Stegostoma tigrinum: one gene and its partners. The protein of the gene in region 1 interacts with the protein of each later gene in a pairwise test. Links are inferred from orthologs where the notes say so. Each region holds a gene or a part of one and is shown on either strand. Other genes may lie near its edges. The genes, in order: probable E3 ubiquitin-protein ligase MID2, enkd1 and phostensin-like.

Region 1 (5,924 bases):
CAGCAAATGTTATCAGTAGCACTTATCAATCAGTTCTCAATGTCTATCTCCCACCGTTATCAGCTTGCACTTTCAACAAAGTTCTAATCAAAACATTTTGAGGTGAAGATTCGGTCTAACTAATTATCTGCTGTTAAGTATCATGTTACATCGAATTTTGGCCTGAAAAACAAACACGCACCTTAAAGACAAAAGCTTTGGTCACCCCTATCTTGTTTCCAATACTTTAATGATGAACTTGCAAACATCTGTTTACATGATTGTAGACTTCCAGGCAGGTCAGGAATGCTCGAGATTGACAATCATTACAAATTCACCCCGACATCTAATCTTTGCTATCTCTTTCAGGCAGTCGTGAGATTCTGAGCCTTCCACCTGCCTATATCCTTGGTAATTTCAGCCCTAGATATACAGAAGACCACTTAGCTGTGTGCAGCAAGATATCTGTTATTGTTTATCTGAGTTAATGAGTTGCATTTGAATGTATTTACATCGGGATTTAGAAAATATAATTTTGCAAGTAGCATATGGCCCTGCATATTATCACCATTTAGGGTGTTTTAAACCCCATACTTTAAAATAACAATAAATCTTTACATTGGCCCCCTTCTCCAATTTCCCCAGCTACTCCCCACTGTCCACTCCCTCTGCTTCACAGCCAATGAATTAACTCATAAGTGCACAACACGAATTAGAGCTGACAGAGGGATAGAGGGCAAGTGCCCAGATTTAACGGCTAGCCTGTACCAACCGAGTTGATCCTACGTGAGGTACTTCAATCAGCACCACTGACCACCAGAAGAGAAACATTCCCACAACAATGTGCAGCTAAGTATGAGAGTAGATATCAGGTCAATGTGCGGCAAATTTGATTGATACTTGTATTGGAAATGGGCCATGTCTGAATGATCAAGCTACAGAAATGATGTAGAACTGTACCTAAATAGAAATCATTTTATTTCTCTCTTTTGTAACATGCCTTTCACGATCTTAAGAAGTCTCGTTGCAATTTACAGACTCGAAGCGCTTTCAATGTATAAACATGGCTATAATTTCGAAGATTGAGCATCCAGCTCTCTCGTAATCAAGATCACATTGGATCAATGTTTGGATAACAAAGTGTGGGGCTGGATGAGGGCCTAGGCCCCAAACATCAGCTTTTGTGCTCCTAAGCTGCTGGTTGGCCTGCTGTGTTCATCCAGCCCCACACTTTGGATTCTCCAGCATTTGCAGTTCCCATTATCTCTGATCACAATGTTTGGGTAATCTGTCTTCTGCTTGGTGACGTTTCAGATAAGTGGGAAGAATTGTCCTCTTCTTTGAAGTAAAACAATTTTTGGGGATCTTTTACATCCACCTGAGAGGGGACGCAGAGTCTCTGATAGCACCAAATAATTTGCAAGACAATACGTCTGACACAACAGAACTCCCTCACCACTTCGGTGAAGTGCTAGCCCACATTATGTGCTCATGTTTCCTCTAAGGGCTTTGAGCCCATGCACTTTTTACTCTGCAGTGAGAGTACCAGTCACAGTAAGTGAACAAGGGCAACATGATCTGGAAAGAGAAATATACATTTAAAACATTAACTTATTAAATCGAAAAAAACTTCCATCCCCATTCGAGCATCACACCACTACAGCCGATTGCTTAAGGCAGTAGAACCTCCTTTTCAGAAAAAAAATTGATTGCAAACAATTTAAGAATTGATTTCCTCTGAGACCATTAAAATGGATGCTTTGTGACCATATATAGCAGCAAGAGAATACCATTGTTTTTTTTCCACAAGCCAGAATGTTTCCAGACAGTTAGATTAATAACACAAAGAATGTTGGTGCTTCCGACAGAGCTCGAATTAGGAAAAGGCAATCAGTGAGAAGGGTGGGAGGATATCCGTGGTCCAGCCAACTGCAATGAAGCAGCATTTTAATTGATCCCAGCTGCTCGTGAGAGGAAAATCATTCTAGCAGCTTTAAATCACGTGTCCCCAAGGAAATGATTCACTGAATCTCTGCTCCTGCCTTGCTATTTGATGATAGGGTTGGGAATGGGGTGGGTGATACATTGAAGCTGAATGAGCATAGTTTGTAAATCTTTGTGAAGAGAGACCGGAACATAGCAAAGGAACTGAACTTCGTTCGCGTTACTGCTAGGAGGCAGCTGACGGGAAAACGATACTGGGAGGGAGTGATTAACACAGATCCTTGGTGAGGAGCGTGCACGCTGACAGATAAAGGTAAGTGGTTTTTTCTTATTAACATAAAGTAAATAACGGAGAAAACTACACCTACCAGTGAGAGAATTGCAGTAGAATGCTGTTTCGGTGATGAAATTATTATTGTGTGCCTAGCTTAAATTCAAATGTCTTGTAAAACGCTTTTTGACGGCAGGTTGCTAAGGGCATATGCAAATATTACTTATGCACTTCTTCAGCCTGGGGTTCTCGAATGGAAAAAATGAGCACTTTTTTTTTTAAAAGACTGGAATTTGATAGTGAGTCAATGTTAGGATTTCTCTTTTTCAGCACCAGTGAAAGAATTATCAAATGAGACAGGATGTTTTGAAGGACAAGTTGGATTTCTCACTTCAACAGCACGGTATTAGTTACAGATCCGTATGGTTGACTGACTTTCTGTATGTTACTAAGTAGTACAAAGACACTTGGGCTGGCAAATCGTGTATCCACAGTTTTGAGTTTTTTTTAAAAATCACCGTTTTTATAGAAAGGGAAGGTAATAATTGAATTTTAATATTGCAAAAGAACTGGTGTGCTTCAGAAATTGCATGTTAGGCTTTCTTATTTTGCTTTTTTTTGTCTCTACTCCATGCCTCTCGAAGGCTTGTTTTAAAGCTCAATGCTGTATGTGCAAGATGTTCTAGTCCTGAGCTGCTACTTAGCAGAGTTGTTTTTCTGTAGCTACATAATGGCTTGAGTGGCAGCAGGGGTTAATATGACTACTTATTACTCAGGGCTGGAAATGCTATGTTGACCCAAGAAAACATAGCCTTGTAGCCAGCCAATAAGCTGGGAAGTTAGATAAATCCACTATCAATCATTGGAGTGGATTGGACACAGTCACAACATTCTTCTTTTTTTCCTTTCCTCTCCTTCTTCTCTTCCTTTCTCTTCTCCCCTGCCCCCCCCCCCCCCCCCCCCCCCCACAATTGAACAATCTTTAAGGCTTGTGCTTAAATGTCTATGTGAAAGACTGCTTTCTTTCACAGAGGGGGAAAAAGCATAGATATAAAAAAACTGCAGGAAATATGAGGTTTGGTTGACCATTTGGCCCTTCAAACCTGCTGGCTCTTGGCTGATCAACCTCAACTGTTTCCCTTCTATTCCAAATATCCCTTAAGCGGTGCCCACACTGTGTAGCATTGAATATATTCAATAATTTTGTGCAAACAGTGCAGCTGAGAATTCCAAGTATTCATTACCCTCCTGACGGAGGCAATTTATGCTCTTGGCACTGCTAAATCTGCCTGTTTTTCTGAGACTGTCCTTCCAGTTAAATGCATTAAGCTATGAACTTACCTTGTCAAACACTTGAAGAATTTTCTCATTTAAAACCCACCCTGCATAGTACTTAATTTGCTATCCCTGAGATTTCCTGTAAATGGTCATTCCAACTGAAAGATGGGTGTGAGGAGCATTTGTCCCCAAGTAAAAGTCCTACTGTAGAAGATGTAACAAATAATACATCCTCTGTTTTCCATCCCAATGTAGGAAGTGCGGAAGTTACTCTTTTGGGAGGTGGGAATCCTGGTGGTGATGACTTTTGTAACTGAGGGTTGCTGTCCATTGTTAGTGGTGAGATGCATGTGTAACTGCAATGGGATAGAGATGATGGTTGCTCTTGCCCTTGTGGACCATATGTGTTTATTGATGTTGATATTTCTGGATGTCCCTTATGACACAGGACATGGCCACTGAGCCAGGTTGGCTCAGTCCATTGGCGTGGCCTCGTTTGGCAGTCAAAGGAGGAGACATTTCTGGATTGCACTTGTGTGCACTGGAATGCAACTGAATTTTAAATATGGGACCAGAGGTCAATCCTTTGTATTGCTCACCATTTCACTTCTCCCTGTTTTAGTTGCATAATTAGGTTGAAAAAGTGAAAACTGCTTCAAAGAATTTGCTCTGGAATGTGACAGAACACATGTCATGGAACTCACCACAATATTGTAGCTACCAATGAAGTTTCAGCCTAAAGAATGAATGGGGTTGGGAGTTTCTACTGAAAGAGAAGAATGGTCAATAGTATGGTTTTTCTGCAGGGGGTGGGGGCTGCAGATGCAGGACAAGATAAAACCCTTTAGTGTTTTTGAGGTCCTGATCTATGGCACTTTGCCTGGACAAATGATGGAATGGGCACTTAATTTGGAGTTAAAATGGCTGGCCATTCATAATTGAGTAAATGCATGTTGGCACTTCAAAAAAGCATGAACAAAACCATCTTGTGGAATTTAGATTTAGCTAAAATTGTTTTATTTCAATAAAGCCTTGCATGTTAACACAGTGAGTAAATGGGGGTGGTGATCTGCCCAAACTTGGAATATGAGGCTTCCTCCATTCATTCAAATCCTGATCTCTTTCTGCACACTGCTTCATTTCTGAAGCACGTACAGAGGAAAGGATGGAAACTAACAAGTGTCACCTTCTAGAACTAGTGAGGTGGTAGAAGCACAGTATGTCAGTCAAGGGCAGAGTGAATCCTAGGACAAAAGCCTCATCTTTCCCTTTCTGTTCAAGAGGAACAAGATAATTTAATCACTTATCACAAACCTTATCCTGTGTATTTATGTCTGCTGTCAGCTTTTCTGTAGTCTGAAAGCCAATGACCACTTCACTCTATCTTGGATCATAGAATCTCTACAGTGTGGAAACAGACCATACCTCCCTCTGAGGAGCACCCACCCAGAACCACCACCCGCTTCCTTCCCTACCTTCTCAAATGAGAATCAAAGGTTCCTATAGAAAGTTGGTTCAATGCCTAAGAGCTAGGGAAGACATTGCTTGGGCCCCTTGCTGAGATGCTTCCACCATAGACTGCCACTTGTGAGGTGCTGGAAGATTTGGATGTTGGCAATTGTGGTGCCATTCATCAAAGCAAGTGAGGAAGGAAAAAGAACTAGGACTCATGAGACTGACGTCAGTGGCAGGCAAGATGTCTTTCTAACTTGATTGTTACTTCAAAAAGGCTCAGGATTGAGTGCAGAGTGGTGGATATTGTCTATATGGACTTCAGAAAGGTGTCTACAGTTCTGCCTGGTAGACCAATTAACAAGTTTCACCTGGAATACCAGGAGAACTAGCTACTAGGCAATAAAATTGCCCATATGGTGGTGGTAGATGGTTGTTTTTCAGACTAGTAACACGTGACCAGTAATGTTGCATGGATTGGTGTTGAGTCTGCTGCTTTGGCCATTTTTAAGTGTATAAAAATGACTGGATGTGAATTTAGGAAGTCATATTAGTAAATTTGTCAAAAATGGACATTGAAGAAGGTTACCTTAAGTACAAAAAGTTGGAAAAGCTCAGCAAGTCAAGTGGCAGCACCTGAAAGAATACAGTTAACGTTTTAGATCAGGTGACTCCTCAAAACTGGTAGTAGTAGTTACGAAAATGTCCACTTTCCTTGCAGAAAATGGGGAAGTAGGTCAGGTAGGGAGTAAACCACCCAGAGAAATGGTTGGACAGATAAAGGAGTTGATCAGGCTGGGAGGGCGAATAGGTGTTAATGGGGACTCAGTGATTTAAGGGATCTGTAATGGCAGGCTGTGTGGTAACAAGGTCTAGTGTGTGGGGTGGTGGGCTGGGAAATAGAGGTTAGGCCCTAAAAGTATGCACTCCGTATTGAGTCTAGAGGGCTGTAGGCTCCCCAAGTGGAAAGAGGTGTTCCTCCAGCTTGCGTGTGCTCTGA
Region 2 (5,924 bases), on another chromosome or scaffold:
TTAAATGCTAATTTTTGAATTGTAGTCACCACTATAGTGTTGGGAAATATGGTGGCCAATTTGTGCACAGCAACCTCTTACGAACAACAATATGATAACTGACCAGATTTGCTATTAGTTGACGGATAAATGTTGGACTGTCACCAGGGAGAACACCCTGATTTCCCTCAGCATAGTACCATGAGATCTTTTACATGGGACCTTTCTCTGAGGGGGTAATGGTGCCTTGGTTGAATATCTCATCCGAATATTGGCACATTTGGTAATCCTGCACTTAAGGCAGTATAACATTTTATCAAAGCTGATAGTACTCTGACAGTGATAATGGGAACTGCAGATGCTGGAGAATCCAAGATAATAAATTGTGAGGCTGGATAAACACAGCAGGCCCAGCAGCATCACCTGCTGTGTTCATCCAGCCTCACAATTTATTATCTTGTACTCTGACAGTGCTCCCTCAGTACTAAATCTCTAGCAGTACAGTATTCTCCCATTGCGTCTCTAGCAATGCAGGGCTTCATGAGTAATGCCCTTCAGTACTGTGGCACAGGGAATGTCAGTGCGTCATTAATATTTTGGCAGAGAGTCTTTGATTCAACAGTTTATTTGAAAGGGTGGAGGAATGGGTTTCTTATTGATCATGTTTGGACCGCTATCATAGAAGTGCAAACAACATATTTGTATAGCACCATTGATTTGAAAATGACATGTCTCAATGTATCTGACAAAACTATTATTAAATAAAATGAGTCACCAAATCACACAAGGTGAAATTAGATTAGAGGAACAAAAGATTTGCTGAAGAATTTGTTTTTAAGGAGTGCCTAAAAGGAGGAGACTGAGTTAGAGTTGTGAAGAGGCAGTGGATGTGATCTTTCTTTGAAAAACAAAGGCTTGTTTAATTACAAAAAATACTGCACTGGAATCTGAAACTGTAAAGAATGAGTTTGTCTCACTTACAGTTTATTGTATTCATAACATAGTGTATGATCTTTTCTGTGTTGGAACCATGAAACTTCTCAATATGACCCTACCTATAATGCATTGCTGATCTGGGGGAAAATAGCTAATTTAGAAAATTAGCTATTTCTAGAACCTCTTTTTTTAACAAAAATATTTTTGTTGAATTCCACTCTCTGATGGCCATCTCTGAACAGTTTTTCCTTACCATTCAGGACCCAAGGCAAACTTGTGCCACATAGCCAGGTGCACATGTGACTACTATCTGGCCCTCTGTCTGCTCCCATTCCCAGTTTGGGAGAAGTACAAGAATCACCCATTGAAACATTGTTCCAAAGATATACAGTGTTTTTAACCACCTAAAGAGGAATGGAAACAAAAATAAAGACTTTCAGAATGTTAATTCTATTTCTGTGTGCAGTCTGTCATCTGCTAATCTGTCTGCGTGTTTGACATGACAATGAGGAGTTGTTAACGGATCAATTCAAAATGGAGAAGAACATAATGAATGAACAGCGTGTCTCCTACTCTGTCTAAGTCTGATGCGACCTTTTACAAACGATGTTTCTGTGTGACATGCTTCACAGTGTAAGGATCCAAGTGGGCACAGTGGTGGGGAAGTGAGCAGGTGAGATACATCAACTGGTAAAATAAATTAAGTGGTTAAAAAACGGTCAACCCATGGATGATGCACAGCCTGCCTTAGCATTGTCTTAACTCACGATCATTCAATAATATTATGAATGACTCCCTGACCTTACAATCTATTGTATAGCGCCTAGACAACTAGTCTTGCTTAGCCTCCATGATGAATATAACTTCTGAGTGTGATGAGAAATGAATAATTGGGCTTGGGAGTATTCTGCATTTTAAAAGCCTGCCGAAAATGCCTTTTTCCTCAGTCTCCAGGGTCAAGAAAGTGTCTGCCTTTGGAGAACATGAAGAATAACATGAGGTGAAACTAAAAGAGTGTCTGATGCATAGTGAGCATTTCCCTGTCACTCACGGTGAGACTCCATGAGTATTAATTATCCCTATAATACTGTACGCTGATATGCACAATGAAACTTGATACAACACCCTGATGTTGACACTAAAACCAAATACTATATGCTAATATTCCCAGTGAGATTCTGTATTAGATCACGAATATCCCATAGAAACTCAATGGATATGTCATGCATTTTGACAGTCAAAGACAGAAGTAGCCAATGTTACAAAGCATGAATTATGGCAGGACGACGTGAAGGACGCGGTTGCCGTGGTGACGGAGGTGACGCAATGACGTTGCGTATGCGTGTATTCAAAGTGGCGTACGCATGCCCGGGGACGGTTGGAAAGTTGGAAGGTGAGCCTGTGGCTGTTGCGCTTTTTGGTTGTATTCCCAGCTGCGGTGGTCCTGATTGTGAATCCTTAAGGGCTTACATTGGAGGTCTCTGACTGATGCCAGCCTGTATTCCGTTCCTCCCCAAGCAAATGGGAGTCCTAACCAGACTACTGCTGATTGCAACTTGTCTCGCCAGTGATACACTGGATTCTGACCATAGTAGGCTCTGCCCACACTGCAAAAGTGTTTTCCAGCCCAATAACTCCAGCATTGATTCCCACAAGGAACCAAGATGGGAACAGGTTTTAGTCCCAGCAATCAAACAGGGTTAGAAGAGTGGGTTGTTGAACTGTGTTGGCCAAGGCTCCTTATAAGGGTCAAATGACCCTTTAGCCTACCCATCGGTTCTACCTTAACCACTATGCTTACCACTGCAAAAACGCTCGTTAGAATTAATGGGAAGAATTAAACTGCTTCTGATGAGATGCTAATGAGTAGATATGCAGGACCATGCTAAATAGCTGCATTCCTCTTGTCATTTAGCCCCACAAATGTTGAAAATCCAATTTCTTGGTGACATAAATTGTACTTGTTGTGTGCACTTGTGACATTTTGTGTTATGTGCATGGGAGTGGTCTGGTTGCCTGATGTTGCATGAGTGATGGAGATGAAAGTTTAGCCTGTTGCCTTGTGTGACCCCATGCATTGTGTTGCATTTTCAACTAGTTGGTGGATGAAAGATCCTTGTGGACAACCACTGGTGTGGGGGCCATCCTTTGACAACCACTGTCCTGTAAGGGTTTTCTGAGAAGGAATGATATGATCAAATCACAGTAAACTTCAGTGTGGTGCAGATTATCTAGGCCTTTGGATTAGGCAAAGTCACTTTAGCAGGTAAAGAGTGGTATGTTGTTTAAAGTAGATTGGGAAATTACATAAATATATTAACACATAAGTAATGACAAATGTGTAAGAATTATTTTCTCCCAATGAATGTACAGTTCTTCAAGGAATAAAACACCACTGGAAAACACTCCCATTTATGGCACAATAATAAAGTTAATATAGTGCTGTCTTAGATTCAAAGAAGCAGCTTGCAATGTTACCAAAAAGGATGGTGTGAGCCAGAGGATTTTAAAAATCAGGAAAACCTGACCAAAAATGTGGTAGAGGATGAAAATAGAATGGGAGAAAGCCATCAAGGAAACAGCTTGTAAAAGCTTTTCTAAGAATGCTAGAAGAGATCAGTGGAAGTAAAATTGATGTAATTGAGGCAAAGACGGGAGAAATTACAATGAAAGTAACAATATGTTAAAGAAATATTTTCTGTACCTGACTTCATAATGGATGCCATAAGAGGAATAATCAAAATATTTGGAAACCTAAGGTTTAATTAGTGTAAAGAACTAAATTAGTTTAAAATAGTAAAGACATCATAGGGTTTAAAAAGAGGAGCTGCAAAATTATTAGAAGTGTTGGTTTTGATTTTCCAATATTATTAGATTTTAGCACTGGCCCTGTGGACTGGGGAGTAGCAAATATGACTCTGCTATTCAGGAAGGGAATGAGAGAGAAAACTTAAAATTAAAAGCAAATTAGGTGCGTTAGCTGTCTCTACAGATTATTCCACTGATGCTCTAGATCCAGAGACAAATCAAAAAAGGCAACTAACTCAAAGATTAAGAGTTAAGGAGAATCAAAGGATTTGAGTGTGATGTTCATGTGCACAGATCAAAACTAGTCAACAGGTTTTACAAGTAATCCAACAAGATTAATGAAATCTTTATCTAAAGTTAGCATAGTGAGGAACAGATCCTTTAGTTGTAAAGAGCTCACTCAAAGTATTGTATTCAGTTTTGGGCCCTGTGCCGCAGGTGAGATTTAAGCTATAAGACATGTCGAATTACCTAGAATTTACAGTGAAGTTTTTTTTTCAGGTTCACATTGACATTTCTACTCCACATGCCCTTCCTCCCACCTGTCACCCTAGCAGTGTGACTTCCTGTTCCTTTCTCCGTCATACATGCATCTGTCTTTCTCTGAAATATATCTATCCTATTCACCTTAATCATTTCATGCAATCTCAAATTTCACTTTTCTGAGCATAAATGTTTTTCTTGAATCTTTAATTGAATTTATATTAATAACAAGATGGTAGGTCCAATAACATTGCTACAGGGAATATATTATGTCTGCTGGGGAACCAAAAAGGGACGATCTTAAAATTATAGCATTTAGACAGGAAATCAGGATATATGGTTTTGTATGAAGCGTTGAATAAATCTTCAATTCTTTCTTCTAAAAGGTAACACTGGAGATCAATCAAGATTTTCAACACAGAAATTGGAATTTTCTTTTGTAAGCCAGGGTTTTTGAGTGCCAGGAAACAAACAGGAAAATGAATTGAGTCACAGATCAGACATGATCTAATTAAATGGTAGAACAGGCTTGAGGGACTAACTGGCTGCCTCCTATTCCTATGTTCCTCCTTTTTCACTTAAACTATTTAGACATAGCTGTTTCTGTATTGTTAGGTAACCAAGATGTCCGAGGGTCCCTCCAAGATATCTGGTCCCATTCCACCAGACCCAACACTATTCCCAGATTTCTACAAGCGTCCGCTGTCAGGTGAGGCTTTACCTGTTTTCCAGTGAAGTGCTTCCATCTTCCTTTTACGTTGTTGGTTGAATTTCCTATTCTCATCTGGGATGAAACAAAGTTGAAAGAAGTGTTTCTGCATGCAATGATCCTTGCGCTTTTGCTCATTCTGTGCACTGGAAATCTATGCGTGGATTAAGGAAGTCTGAAAGAACAAAATGAAGAAAAATGTCTTTACCTTGTTACTTCACAAGCAGAATTGTTGTGCAGACGCAGTATACTCCTAGAAACTTGGGAAAATAACAAGTTGGAATCTAACTGAAAGTTTCAAGGCTTGTTATATTTACAATAATTGGACATCCTATTAATACTAGGATGAAATTCAGTCGAGAATAGGCGCAAGTAATGGGTGACTGCAGATTCATATTCAGTAATTATTAGCCCAATATTGAATATTTCACAGTACCTCATTAATAGCAGATATGATATTTATTTGATTCTGATTTGTGCCTTTGTTTTGAGTTATTCCTAAAATTGATTTCACAGCTTGACTGGGAAAAGGTGATAACTGTTTTATCATTAATTATCCTGACCATGGTTTGTTGTACGGTGAGTGATCTCAGGGAGCTTTGTGACAACATTTAACACGTTCAATAATCTTGCAGGATATCTTGAAATATAATGATTCAACCAATTGTTTAACTGAGAATTTGACAATCTTGGAGCAAATATTAGGCACTTTGTGATTTGACATTGGAAAATTAGTTCCTATTTCTCCTCAGTGATGAGAGCTAAATTTACCCAATTGTTCTACGCCTGCAAAACTGAGCTTAGTAAAGAGGGGAAAGGGTAATGATAGTTTTCATTTGTTGTTATTGTTCAGTGTCAATTTTGGAAGCTGATATGATCAACTCAGCATGAAGATCCTCGTGGCTGAATGATCAATTTACAGGTTGTACTTGCAGAACGACATGCCTACTTATTTTTGTCTTCTGTTTTTATCTGCAGCTCGGGGTCGGCTAGAAGGGAATAGCTTAAA
Region 3 (5,924 bases), on another chromosome or scaffold:
ATGCCGTTCTCTGTTGTCGCGGCGTTGCCAGGAGACGGGGTCTTGTTGGCTGCCATCTTGCGGGGGTTGATGGTGATGGTTCTCCCTGACTTGCGCTGGGGGCCGGGAGAGAAGGTAGGCCGCTGCCTCCCCTCGCCATCCTCCAACACCGCCTCGGGGCCTGGCCTTGAGGGCGTGGACGACAGGGTACCCTGCCGCCCCCGCCCTCCGTCACTTGCGCCCTCTGTCTCCCGGGCGACCACTCCCCCACCCCCTCCTCCATAGCTGGCTCGGACAGGGAAGGCCGGAAGCCTGGTTTCCCGGGGGCCCACAGTGGGAGGCTGCGGCCCGCTCATGTTGCTGCTGGGCCCCCCCTGACTGGTGTCTGGATCTGGCCCGGGCTCGGTGAAGGGGGCCCTGTCCAGGCCTAGCTCAGGCGTCCCACCCTGTGGTCCAGGATCCCCAGTGCGTCTCTGGTCTGTTGCCGCACCAGCAGTAGCAACAGCAGGAAGGCAGGAAGCTGTAGGGGCCTGCTCTGCACAGGAAGAGGAAGCCACATTGACAGGCTGCTGTGGCCTGGAGGAGCCGAGAGTGTTTACATCGTTGGGGGAGGGTGGGTCGGGGAGGAGGACGGAGGCTTTGGCCTCCTCCTCCTCCTCCTCCCCCTGCTGCTGCTTGGAGGGTGCAGCCTGGCCATCAACCAGAGCCTGGGCCTCCCTGGGTTCAGCCTTGCCGTCCCTCACTATGCCGGGGCCTGGATCTGGATCCCACCTCCCGCTGCCCAAACAACCAGGCCTGAGGCGTCCTCCTCCCCCTCTTCCTCCTCCCCCTCCTCGTCCTCCCTCCCCAACCATCCCCTGGGACCCTGGCCTAGCGGGCTGGGCCTCCTCCTCATTGGCGGCTCGGCTGGGTGTCTCTGTCGCCAACCAGGCCTCGAAGCGGCTGCGGGAGGTGGAGACCGTGCGCGGAGGGGAGGTGGTGGGGGGAGAGCGGGACTGGGGCCTGCGTCCTTGGCGCGGGGCGTGAGGGCTCCTCGGTGGGCCAGAGGATGCCCCTGAGCGTCCCGGGCGCTCCAGGATGTTCTCGGTGCTGCGGGAGCGAGAAGGCCGTGCCGCAAGAGCCTTTGTCTCCTCCCCCACCCCGCCATCTCTGGTCGCCCAGGTGCGCCCCTGCTGGCCGAACCTGCACAGTAGCCGGCTGACCCGCCCACGTTTGGGGCCCTCCTCTCCCAACTCCGCTCGGCACTTCCCAAAGGAGTTCAGATCCTCCACACTCCTGCTCAAGGGGGAACGGAGGTCAGGCCGACATGCCCCCTGCTGGCCGGCCAGGCCATTCACACTCGGCAGCTTCTCACTGGTGCCCGGGAGCCTGGGCCCGGATTCAATGATGGTGATGTCGTCTGCCTGTATGATGGTCACCCCTGGGGTGTGACAGATCATCTCGGTCCCTGGGACACCCAGAGGGGCCTGCTCCAGCTCCGAACCTCCCTTCCTCTGCTTCTCCCGCTGGATAAAGTGATTCTGGCGCAGGGGCCCAATGTTCTCCCGCAGCACCACGCTGTCTGTCGCCGTGGCAACGCAGGCCTCAGGCTCTGTCCCATCAGTCCCAGCCTTGGCTGCAGAGCCCATCGGGCTAGACCCAGCCTGACCCTCGGCCTGTATTTCCAAAGACGATGACCCAGGGCACAGCCTGGCCCGCCTCCTCTCGATGATCTCCCTCTTCCAGGCCGGAATTCTGGCCAGCCTCTCCTGTTCTTCCTTCTCCTTGCGCCTTTCCTCTTCCTCATCCCTTCTCTTCCTCTCCAGCAGCTGAACCTTCCACTGAGGAGGAGACGTCATTGTGGAGTTTCAGCCCAGTCACTGGTGGAAAGTGAAGGGGTCAAGCCTGCCCCAGTTCTGGTCACTAAAACCTGCTCCACCCACCCACGACTGACTTCACCCCTGGGTCACCCTGTCTCACTGGGAAATCGACGGGGTCTCAAAGATGGTGACCTTCAGACAATGCCATATGGGACAGAGCAAGATCCAGATCTATGGCCAAACACCAAATCTTTCACCCTGAGACATTACAGACACTCAAAACACACACTCAATACTCAACTCGCACACTCAATACCCAACACTCAGACCCTCACACTCAATACCCAACACTCAGACACTCACAATCAGACCCTCACTCAATACCCAACACTCAGACTCTCACTCAATACCCAACACTCAGACCCTCACAATACCTAACACTCAGACCCTCACACTCAATACCCAACACTCAGACCCTCACACTCAATGCCCAACACTCAGACACTCACAATCAGACCCTCATTCAATACCCAACACTCAGACCCTCACTCAATACCCAACACTCAGACCCTCACTCAATACCCAACACTCAGACACTCACAATCAGACCCTCACTCAATACCCAACACTCAGACCTCAATCAATACCCAACACTCAGACCCTCACAATCAAACCGTCACTCAATACCCAACACTCAGACCCTCACTCAATACCCAACAGTCAGATCCTCACTCAATACCCAGCACTCAGACACTCACAATCAGACCCTCACTCAATACCCAACACTGAGACCTCACTCAATACCCAACACTCAGACCCTCACAATCAGACCGTCACTCAATACCCAACACTCAGACCCTCACAATCAAACCGTCACTCAATACCCAACACTCAGACCTCACTCAATACCCAACACTCAGACCCTCACTCAATACCCAACGCTCGGACTCTCACTATCAGACCCTCACATTCCATACCCTCAGACCCTGACACTCCGACCCTTGGGAGCACACAGCCAGCAGTTCACCCACCGAAGCCATGGTCAGGTACCCCTGCGCACCTCATGGGAACGCTCAGGTCCCCATCTGCCCCAGGATAGATCCCTCCTTCTCTCTGGATCAGGGAACTCCTTCTGTCCGTACCGGGATAAATCCTTTGACAGGGAAACTCCACGGTCTGTCCCAAGATAAATCTCTCTGTCAGGGATAAGCCTTTCTCTCGATCCTGGGAATAAGTCGCGCTCTCTGTTCTCGGGATACGGCCTCCTGTCTATCCCTACCTCCGTCCCGGGGATGACAGTCTATCCTGGGATAAATCTCTGTCTCTGTGCTCCCATGGGGTCGATTCCAGGCGGGAGGGAAGGCGATGGTGATGTCTCCCGGGTCAGACACTCCGCTGTCCCGGGACAGTGCTGGGTCCTGGGTGCCGCCCCGGCTTCCCGAACAAAAGGAGCGGCTCGGGGTGGGTGTTCCTGACCGCCCGGAGGCTGCGGATCCCGGGGCGCGGGGGGGGGACTCTCCCCGCTGGCGAGCTCTCGCTCGGGATTTGAAGCTGCCTGCGGTGGTGGGGTCCGACGGGGGATCCCGTAATCTCCCCGGGACTGGGAACCCGCTGCTGCTCACGGTGACTGAGTGTGTGTGTGTTCGAGAGAGAGAGAGAGCATCCGGGAGAGGGCAGGAAACAGAGAGAGAGAGAGAGAGAGAGAGAGACGGGGGAGGGAGAGAGAGTGTGGGGCTGGGACTAGGGGTGAATGGACAGAGAGGTAGAGAGAGCGCGAAGGCAGAGAAAATAAAGTGAGACTGAATGGAGAGAGAATAAAATAAAACGAGGAATGGAGACAGAAAGTAAATGACTGCAGAGGGTGGGAACAGGGAGAGACTTGTAGATTAGAGAGAGGGTCGTGGGGGAGAGAGAGAGAAGGGGGGAGAGGAAGGGTGAAGGGAGACAGTGGGTGGAAGAGAGTGAGAACAAGGTGGGATGGGAGAGAGGGGTTGGGGAAGAGAGAAAGGGGGAAGGGGGGAAGAGAGAAAGGGGGAAGGGGGGAAGGGGAGGGTTGGAGAGAGAGAAGGGGGCTGGGTGGGAGAGAGAGGGGGGTTGGGGGAAGACAGGGTGAGGGAGTGGGAGACAGAGAAAGGGGGTGGGGTGATAGGGAGATAAAGGGGGGAAGGAGAGGGAGTGAGTGGGGTGAGGAGTGTGTGGGGGGAGAGAGTGAGTGGGGGGATAGAGGGTTGGGGGAGAGAGTGAGTGGGGAACAGAGGGTTGGAGGTGGAGAGAGAGAGAGAGAGAGAAAGGAGGTGGGGAGAGAGAGAGAGGGTTGAGGGAATGGGAGTGTAATAAAGAAAGGCCGAGAAGGAAGACAGAATAAAGTGAGACCTGACCGAGAGAAAAATGAGGTGTAGAGAGAGAGACAGCAAATGAAAATAGAGAGGGGGAGCATGTAGACTAGGAAGGGAGGGGAATAGAGAGAGGAGGAATAGAAAGATGGAGATAGAGAACAGGAGAGGAGGGATAGAGAGGCGGGAGTGACAGAGTGAATGGAGCAAGAGTAAATAGAAAGAGGAAATAATGAGAGACAGTGAACAGAGAGACAGGGAATTGAGAAAGGGAGTAGAGAGAGTTACAGACAGAGAGGAAAGAGAAAGTGGAATGGGAAGAAGGAGTTAGAGAAAGGGTCAAGGGAGCAGGCAAAGGGAGGTGGGGAAAAGAGACAGAGAGAGGCACAGAGAGAATTTAGAGAAAGGAATAGGAAGAGGGAGTTAGCGAGCAGGAGAGGAGAGAGAAGATACAGTGAGGGAGAATATAGAGGGAGAGATAGAATGGGGAGATCAGGACTGTCCTCCTGTAGAATGAGAAGGCTTAGAGGAGATCCGATAGAATTGTTCAAAATCATGCAGGGGCTGGACAGCGTTGACAGAGAGAAACTGTACGATTTGTAAAAAGAGATCAAGAAAGACAGGGCACAGATTTGAAGTGACTGGCAGAACAAGCATATGTAAGCATTTGTGGGACGGAAGCACATTTTGAGTTGCATCTGAACTGCAAGTAGCTGGGGGAAACTGGTATTTATGCTGGAACCAAAGTGTGGGGGAGAGCGGAGGTGAGTGTATAGGTATAGATGGAGGTCAGAGAGATGGAGAAAGATATGACAGAGAAATGTAAACAAGAAGATAACAGATAGCTGGCCAGGACAGAAAAAAAGCTGAATAAGAGATCATGCAATCAAAGAGTGAGAACACAGGAGAGCTCTATTGAGAAGTGTACCCGATTGCTGCTCACCTGCAGATGCTGCCTGGCCTGCTGTATTCTTCCAGCGTCCTGTTTGTCTACCTTGGATTCCAGCATCTGCAGTATTTTATGTCTCTAACCATGGGCCTAGGATTACGTGAGAATGGGTGACCGGGCTAAAAGAAACCCATGCTGTCACAGGACTGGGTCTGGCAGTGGGTTAAAAAATGGAAGGCTGGAATCAGGCTCTAAACTTATTTAATTTGACGTTGAGCCCTAGAGGCTGCCGGGTCCCCAAGCAGAAAGAGAGATTTTTTTTTGAGCTTGCGCTGAGCTTCGCTAGAGCACTGCAGCAGGCCTGAGACAGAGCAGGCTAGAGAACACAGCTTGGAGTGGCAGGAAACTGGAAGCTCTGGGTCGTTTTTGCAGTCACCCAGGTCTACATTTTGTCTCCCTAGTGTAGAGGAGATCACATTGTGTGCGGTGAATGTGGTAGACTAGACTGACTGAAGTGGCTGGTAAATCACTGCTTCACCTGGAAGGTATGTCTGTGGCTTTGGATGGTGAGGAGCGAAGGAGTAAACAGGCAGGTGTTGCACTTATGCGGTTGCAGGCCAAGGTGCCATGGGGCTGTGGGGTGGGTGCGGTATTGGGACCGGAGGAGGAATGGACCAGGGTGTCCTGGAGGGAACTGTCCCTGCAAAATGCTTGCAGAGGAGGGGAGGTGAATGTGTTTCCAGTCTTGGCATCCTGTAGGAGGTGATGGAAACGTCAGCGGATGACGGAAAGTGAGCAGTAGGAGTTGTCTGAGGGAAGGGAAGGGACGGGGTGAGGGCGGAAGTGAGGGAGATGCGTCGAATATAGCCAAGGGTCCTGGCAACCATTGTATGGGGGGATCCGCTTAGTTGAGGAAAAGAAGGT

Evidence for each region.
Region 2: the proteins of probable E3 ubiquitin-protein ligase MID2 (region 1) and enkd1 interact in binary tests that used the Homo sapiens proteins (3 or more experiments, as listed by UniProt). The link is inferred for Stegostoma tigrinum from reciprocal best matches to the Homo sapiens genes MID2 and ENKD1.
Region 3: the proteins of probable E3 ubiquitin-protein ligase MID2 (region 1) and phostensin-like interact in binary tests that used the Homo sapiens proteins (3 or more experiments, as listed by UniProt). The two-hybrid records come from large-scale screens. The link is inferred for Stegostoma tigrinum from reciprocal best matches to the Homo sapiens genes MID2 and PPP1R18.

Annotation. Positions count from the first base shown.
Region 1 is NC_081368.1:43,278,356-43,284,279, forward strand, and holds the start of probable E3 ubiquitin-protein ligase MID2, read left to right. Parts: upstream 1-2,142; 5' UTR 2,143-2,236; intron 2,237-5,924. UniProt on the Homo sapiens protein: E3 ubiquitin ligase that plays a role in microtubule stabilization. Mediates the 'Lys-48'-linked polyubiquitination of LRRK2 to drive its localization to microtubules and its proteasomal degradation in neurons.
Region 2 is NC_081393.1:16,157,731-16,163,654, forward strand, and holds the start of enkd1 (enkurin domain-containing protein 1), read left to right. Parts: upstream 1-2,260; 5' UTR 2,261-2,308; intron 2,309-4,821; 5' UTR 4,822-4,830; coding exon 4,831-4,915; intron 4,916-5,893; coding exon 5,894-5,924. UniProt on the Homo sapiens protein: Microtubule-binding protein which regulates microtubule organization and stability. Promotes the stability of astral microtubules and facilitates the proper orientation of the mitotic spindle.
Region 3 is NC_081387.1:14,388,418-14,394,341, forward strand, and holds the start of phostensin-like, read right to left. Parts: upstream 3,710-5,924; 5' UTR 1,818-3,709; coding exon 1-1,817.